Lepisosteus oculatus: one gene and its partner. The protein of the gene in region 2 interacts with the protein of the main gene of each other region in a pairwise test. Links are inferred from orthologs where the notes say so. Each region holds a gene or a part of one and is shown on either strand. Other genes may lie near its edges.

What was found. The genes of interacting proteins can lie anywhere in the genome.
Region 1: the proteins of c6h5orf22 (region 2) and elof1 interact in binary tests that used the Homo sapiens proteins (3 or more experiments, as listed by UniProt). The two-hybrid records come from large-scale screens. The link is inferred for Lepisosteus oculatus from reciprocal best matches to the Homo sapiens genes C5orf22 and ELOF1.

What each region holds. Positions count from the first base shown.
Region 1 is NC_090706.1:17,279,496-17,283,248, forward strand, and holds the start of elof1 (transcription elongation factor 1 homolog), read left to right. Parts: upstream 1-1,330; 5' UTR 1,331-1,432; intron 1,433-1,566; exon of another isoform or gene 1,567-1,683; intron 1,684-1,852; exon of another isoform or gene 1,853-2,194; intron 2,195-2,844; 5' UTR 2,845-2,851; coding exon 2,852-2,967; intron 2,968-3,430; coding exon 3,431-3,501; intron 3,502-3,753. UniProt on the Homo sapiens protein: Factor involved in transcription-coupled nucleotide excision repair (TC-NER), a mechanism that rapidly removes RNA polymerase II-blocking lesions from the transcribed strand of active genes.
Region 2 is NC_090701.1:6,469,981-6,473,733, forward strand, and holds the start of c6h5orf22 (UPF0489 protein C5orf22 homolog), read right to left. Parts: upstream 2,456-3,753; 5' UTR 2,274-2,455; coding exon 2,202-2,273; intron 1,698-2,201; coding exon 1,552-1,697; intron 92-1,551; coding exon 1-91.

The DNA of each region.
Region 1 (3,753 bases), on a different chromosome or scaffold from region 2:
ACCAGTCCTTTGTAAACTTATAAAAATGTCTTTCTTTCGTCGGCAGAAGTCTTTTAAAGATATAAATTGGACATTAAACTGCAGGAGTCGTGCCCGCGCACCCTCACCTACTTCAACAATAGGACCCTTACCCCCCCGCCGCCTTCTAACATTAACGAATCAAATCTCTTTAGATTGAATATTAAACAGAGCCGTTCTTCACAGGAGCCAATCATACACGTAAACAAATTTCTTAATATACATAAACACGTCCCCCTCAGGTATGCCATACGGTGGCTCGTAGGACTCAGACTTCCTCTTTTCCAAAACGTTTTTTCTTTGGCTTTGTTTCCAGAAGTATTACAATTCACTATTCTTGCTTCTCCACGTTCTTTAATTTAGGTCAATGTCGTCTAGCTCCGGTCCTGGAGAATCTGTCTGTGTACGTAAATACAACAACCCCTGGAAAGCGGGAAGAAGTTGATAAACTGGTTAAATTAAACTAGTAACGAGGTGGGATGACCAGTACGCTGACTGAACCGCACTGATTCGAGACTATGAAAACATTTCAGTCAGCTGGACCCTTAATCGCGGAGTATTAACAAATGCCCCATCCACGATGGTGAAGCAGATTCAAAGGGATCGTCTCTGTGGGCGAGAGCCTTGGATTCATAAATTAGCGCAACCCAATGAACGAGATGGATCTGAATGGTCTCCTCTCTCTGCAACGTTTGCCTATCAACTTCTGTTCTTACCATCGTTTAATAGCGATGGATTTGTTAGTGCGCTCCTTAAAACCCTGCTGATAAATGTAGTTTGTTTGTTGACTCTGTGCTCCAATATACAGGGCATACTAACGCTTGAATAATATTTTTTTAAATGCTACAGCTGAATATGCTGTGCTACAAAACAAATAAGAAACCCTTTACTGGGATGATTACTAATACTGTATTACTAATACAAGTGACAAACTCTATTGTACAGCAAAGCGACATTTTTTAGCAGGAGCAATGCCCTGGAGGTAATAGTTTTACTTTCAACGAGTCTAAAAAGCGTATTCTTGTTGTGCACGCCGTGTTTCCCAGGCATAATATACATCGTGGATGAAGCAAACATCTGGATAATGTGCAGCCCATAAGCGAGACCACGACCTGAGTGCTTCTTTTATACATCCCAGACACACAGTAAGCAAGTTCACCGTTAACAATCACCCACATCAACACTTGAGGTCGCAATCGGCTCTCGAAACCAGCAGCGCGAAGGTTTTCACTGGAAAACAAAAAGGGAAGAGGAATCCAAAATAATCGACAGGTCGAAGCGCCAATCAGAACACAGATGGTTTTACCAAGGTGACCAATCAGATTAAAGGTTTGGCGAAGACTTCCGGAATCAGATGTAGTTTCCTGTTTGTGGAGGCTGCGTGTGTTTGGGAAGATTAGGTAGACGTGATAAGGTAATCACTTTTTTAATTACGTTAATTGTTTTTAAAAAATGGCTGTCGTCGACCACGGCGTTTAATTAAAGAGCGAAAAAGTGTAAATAGCTAAACTAGGGAACGAGGGTGAGTAATATGTGATCCCCAAAGAATCGCAGCTGGGGACTTCACGACGAGATAAAAAACACCATGTGAGCGGTTTTAGATTATGAGCTTTAGCAATTAATTGTTCAGTGAAATTATCAATTCAGTTGTTTCCTTATTCAGTGGTAAGTAATGCGATGGCTCAAATTATTCTACATGGTCGTTAGGTCGCACAGCTCCTGTGGAAAGTGCTGAAATGTTTAATGAGTTACTGCAGTTTAATCTTTGAAATGAGCGCAATTTACAAGGCTTTTCTTCCGTTGTGGTTACCTAGCAGACACTTAAAGACGAAGCTCGGGCGATTACGTAGAGCGTAGAAACATGAAGATACAATAAATCCGTCGTTAAATTCTTTGTCATATCCGGACAACTGTTTTTTTTTGTTGGGTTCAGTCGGATTTCGTTTTTCGCTTTTGGGGTTCGTGGAGTATCGGTTGCAACAGCACGAACCGTATCTTACTGTGTTGAGGCAGAACGAGTTTCGCCCTGTTTTGTAGGTAGTAGAGGACACGCTTTTCAAGTTGTGCTTCCACAGTTCTGGATACAGGGTGTACCCACGCGTCACAAATCTCCCAGATGATCCCCTTCTCTTTCAAAACATCGTGGGGGAAAAACTAGGATGTAATGGATAAAGAGGTATTGAAGAGTGCAATAGTTTAATGATGGGGCCCAGAGAAAACTGGGGTTCATCTATGCCTTGACGTATAGGCGAATCATTTGATAAATTCCTCTGTTCTAAAAAAAACGTGGGAGACCACTTATCTCGCCTACCATTAATGTATTGTGTTGTGTTAATGGGGTTGGCAAATGGGGAGTTTAGGAACCCCGATATTGTCGTTATAAGGGAAGTTTGAGGCTGGTGGGGTTCCTGCCTTTGCTGTATAAAAATTGCCCAACCGATATTCGGCTCTTCTCAAGCCTAAATCGTGGCTCCCATCTTATTTCCAGTTACTAAATGGTCAAATTAATTCTTTGCCTGCAGTGCTTCTGACTGGGCTCTGATCTGTTTTGCGGGAACAGTTTCTTTACTGAAGTGTTTGAAGCACCCAGCTGTTAAAAATACTTATTTTTTTCAATAAAGAAAACAAGTCTTAAAAGTAAAATAAGCTAAGACTTAATTGTAGACAAAGTCAAAGTAAGAAACCAGGTTAAACGCCTGATGGACTTGGGACAAAAGCCCAAAGATGCTGAGATTCTGTGGACTGGCCTTGTCTCACTTCCTGCTGTCCCCGATTGGGACTTCCTGTGCTCAGCCTCGCATGCTGATTGTCTTTTCCGCCCTCCAGGTAGAAAATGGGCCGCCGCAAGTCGAAGAGAAAGCCCCCTCCCAAGAAAAAGATGACTGGAAACCTGGACACTCAGTTCACCTGCCCCTTCTGCAACCACGAGAAGTCCTGTGACGTGAAAATGTAAGGATCCGCATTACTGCTGGGGGGCCCAGTCCTAGAGTGTCTTAGATAGGGTCCCTGAGTGAATGACTTGTCAGGAATCATTTTTAGAGCAAGTATTTATTATGCTTCAGACCATCCCTTTTTTTTGGGTGCAGCTTGGAGGTAAGGTAGGAAATTTGTACTTGCGTGCAGCTTTGGAAAGGTTATGTGTACACATAACAGGGGAGCAACTTAGCAAGATGTTTTGACAGTCTTCTTGCTCACAAGTCAGGACACTACAATCCAAGGGGTTGCCCTTGATTGAGAGACAGTCAATAATTAACGTTGATGGATCTCATATACCGAAGAGTGTAATAGTGTACTAGTGTGTCCTCGTAGAGAAGAACAGTGTCTTAAATGGAGATGTACAGACATGTCTTCTCGGGGGCTCTGTCTGTGTGCATGCTTCTGGATATCTGTATTTTTTTTCTCTCTGTCACAGGGAACGAAGTAGAAACACCGGGATCATATCCTGTACAGTTTGTTTAGAAGAGTTCCAGACCCCTATAACCTGTATCCTTTACAAACACCTGCATCTGTCTGTTCTGTGCTCTACAGGAGCTGGATAGTCTCTTTTGCCAGTCTGCACGGGATACACCAGTGCAGAGAAACTCTGCCACCTTTTAAATCCAGCTGGAGTTAGAGTAGATAGCGGTTCTCCTATCCTGATCAGCAGGTTGACAGATTGTAGCATCATGACTGAATCGGAGATCGAAGCTAGGAGACTAGGTGGCACTTTGAGTAAGGAGAAGTACAGGCTCCAGC
Region 2 (3,753 bases):
CTGTTGTGCCCAGGAAGGGTGAAGCCATAGGACATTAGATAAATGCCCTGCATACACCATGGGCATAATCCAATTCTCAATACTTAGCTCACTGGAAAGATATTAAAATATCAGATAATGTTTAAGACTAAAATTCAAGGGGACAGATTAATGGCTTTTTTCCCCTAAGAATTTATGCCTACTTATTACAGAGCTCCTCGGGTCGTGGCAAACATTACTGAACTACAGACTCCAGCAAACAAAATATATCAGGTATTATAACTCAGCTTTAAACGTTAAAAGCTTTGTGGAAAGAAAGTCATGAAATACAAAATACTTGAATGCACTTAATTCAATACCGTGAAACAAAAATGAAATTGTTATTTGAAATGAGTCATTGAAAAAAATCCGATATAGACCCCTTAGTCTTCTGCTACAGTCGCCAAGTTGTGGTAGCGATAGAAATAAAGTGGGAGAGTACTAAGAAAGCAGTGGCATTTAAAAAAAACAGCAAAGATTAGAAAGGAATGTCTTATTTTACTTTCTTGCTAGAATTCTTCGAACAGGTGATGAACATAGTAGAGAAGCCTTGATTTAAAAGGGTCAGGTAGAGGTTCATTCGCTGCTAAAAGGTAGGGAAAGAAAAACAACACTTGGTCTGTGGAGCCTTCTTCAGGTGTGAAGGAGGGAGAGAAAGTACAGTAGCAGATCAATATGGCATAGCAGGACAAAACAACAGAGTAGGTGAAAGGGACGGGGAGCAGTTGGGAAATGGGCATAAAGCAGGTGAGAATGAAACTAGAGGATAACAGGATGAGAGGTGTGGAAAGCCTAAATGATTAATTTAGTAGCAAACAGTACAAAATATTTAGATATCCAGAAAGATTTTATAAAGAGACTTATACAAATTCATGAACTACACAGACACAAGGCTAATTTCATTTAAAATTAATATTAATATGTGCAAGCAATTGACACTTCTTAAAAGGAACACACTATTTAACTTAATATTGCATGGGTGATTCGGTCCCACAGCAAGCTAAAAGCAGAGCGGCAGGGTGGCGCAGTGGTAAGCATGACTGCCTCGTAGTGCTTGGGGTCCTGAGTTCAATTTTGAACCTGGGGTGCTATCGGCATGGAGTTTGTATGTTCTGCACGTGTTTGCGTGGGTTCCCTCTGGGTGTGACAGTTTCCTTCCAAGGGCATACTGGTAGGTTAATTGGCATCCAGGAAAATTGGCCCTAGATGTGAGTGTGCGTCCTGCGATGGACTGGCACCCAGTCCAAGATGTACCCTCCTTTGAGCCTGCTGCTTGCTGGGATAGGTTCTGGCTCTATGGAAACCCTGAATTGGAAGAAGCTGTTAGAAATTGGATAATGGGACACATGGACAGACAATCAGTGTTCGGATCAGGAGAGAAGAGACAGCGAGAGACATATGTTCTTTTTTTTTTTCCTCGCACAGCTATCAAACCACAGGTAAGATGTTCATGAAAAAACAACCATCATGTTCATTATCATGTTTGTTCCTGCAATCCTTTCAGAATATCTGTGACCAATGAACACATCTTACCTAAACAGCTCTTCTTTGTCGAACACGGTGTCAGCAGGCATGTTGACAGGAATAAGCAGGTCGGGGTGGGAATCTAAATGGATCATTTTGATGTTCTTTATAGGTAAATGTCTGGAGCCAATGGCGCGATAGATGTGAGGTAGCACCTGTATTAGAATAAAGTGCAGAGATTGCAATTGCGGTTTGTAAAACGAGCAACGTGATCTGTCAACTGTCGGCTTTCCCATAATTGTACTTTGTTACAACAGTGTAGCATTAATAGTACTGTTTATTCTTCGGGAAAATAGCTGGTAATGTCCAAAATGTATTTTTTTATTCGCATTTTATTTTTGTGAGGGTCTTAAACTATAACTATATATATATATTACATGAATTTACCCGGAACACTTACAGGATTGATTAAACAAAACTGACCACAGTTCGCAGTGTATATACATGAGGCTATAAATAGCATAAATACATATTGATGACAATATTCCTCTTTGTACAGTCTTCGGTATTCATTATACTACAGGGTTAAGACTGTATTTTACAATCAACTATTGCTTTCAATTTGCAATTCGTATTCTGAAAGCTGGATATATTAAGGCTGTAAGCAGGGAAAGGAAACGCAGACAATTAGATTAAAAAAAAGTGAAACTGGTACTCACATCATGATGATCTTCCACTATCCAGACGGGGACATCTTTATAAACTCTACTTGGCGCTTGAGTGGAATTCATACCACCTCCTCAAAAAAAAGAAAAAAGAAAAAACAAACCACTTGCTCTCTGCCTGCCTGCAGTTTATTTTAGCCTTGTTGACGGGGGACCCGTCTCAGTGTAACACACGCCGTTTCCTAGCCGCGATTGGTGGAGCTGTCCCGTCTCTGCAAGCGATTGGGCCGAAGTCGTCCGTCTCGGTCTTTTGCGCCGCGATGAAACACGTTGCCTTCACTTATGCTTCCCCGGTTGTTTAAATCTTAAAACATCTTTCCAGTTTCCCTTGTCTCATGAAGGCAGCGGCTAGATTTATGCGTTGCTAGGAATACATGGTACAGAGTCGAGAAGCTAAAAAACTGAAAAGCTGTTGTTTTAAAGTGATTGCGTGTTACAAACCGGAATATGCCAGTCGTCGCATCCGCTCAGAGGAAAGGAAGGCGAGCCGATATCAACAGGGATCATTTCCTGTTGAGATTATGGTGCTGAGCTTGAAGCGGCGATACACATGTAAAATGTAGGGTAATGACCAAACTTTTTATCTTGCTAGCAACAATTCTTTTAGGTAAATCGTTTTAACTCTTCTTGGAGACTGGCGATCGTTGTCTTTTGTTCTAAACATTTTATCGTTAAAGGTAAGTTTCTGTAACATGCAGCTTTGAATTTCTTTATACCGTTGTATGCTTTGGTAAAAAAAAAACGTAAAAAACGTGCAAGCGATAGGCTAGTTTGTCTCGGTTATATTAAGAACTGAACAGGCTACAATATCTCAGGCTACAATAATGTTTTTCCCCCCATGTTGTCAATTTGAACGAATTTATGTTATTTACCTATACAAGTCAGATGGTGCAGTCACGAAACACACAGCATTGTTGACGGTATTTTTATTTTATATATAAAAAAATCTTGCTCATAATTATTTATGGCGCTTTTAAACAGCAAATCATACTGATACACAACGATGCCGGACATCGGTAGCAGTCCCACACTTTAAATGGGCACGATGAAATACGTCAATATAGAAATCCAGCATCAACTTTTATTCTTTTTTTGCGTCGTATTTAACATACAGTATGCACTTCAGCCATTTAAACTTATAGACCACTTCATTGAAATATTTGATTGATTCGATGTTTAACCTTTTTTTTCGCATTTTGGCTAGAGACTCACATACGGGCAGCCTTTTGTGTGTCGTTTCCATGAATTACAGTGATACCATCACATCTTTGATGCCATACAGGATGTAGACTTAAATATGATCAGCTTTATGCCTGCCATTTCCACGAAATACAGTGATCAAAACTCCGTTTTAACTTGGTTTAAAACTGTTGCTCTCCCGTTGCTTTCTAAACAGCTCTTATTGTTTGTCAGTTAACAATGCGCAGACAGAATTGGGAATGATACTGTCAAGCACTCTGATTAAAAAAAAAAAAGAGGCATTCCTATTGCTGCGTAGGTCTGTTCATTAGGTTTAACCAAATAATTGAAAATACATTAGTGTGTG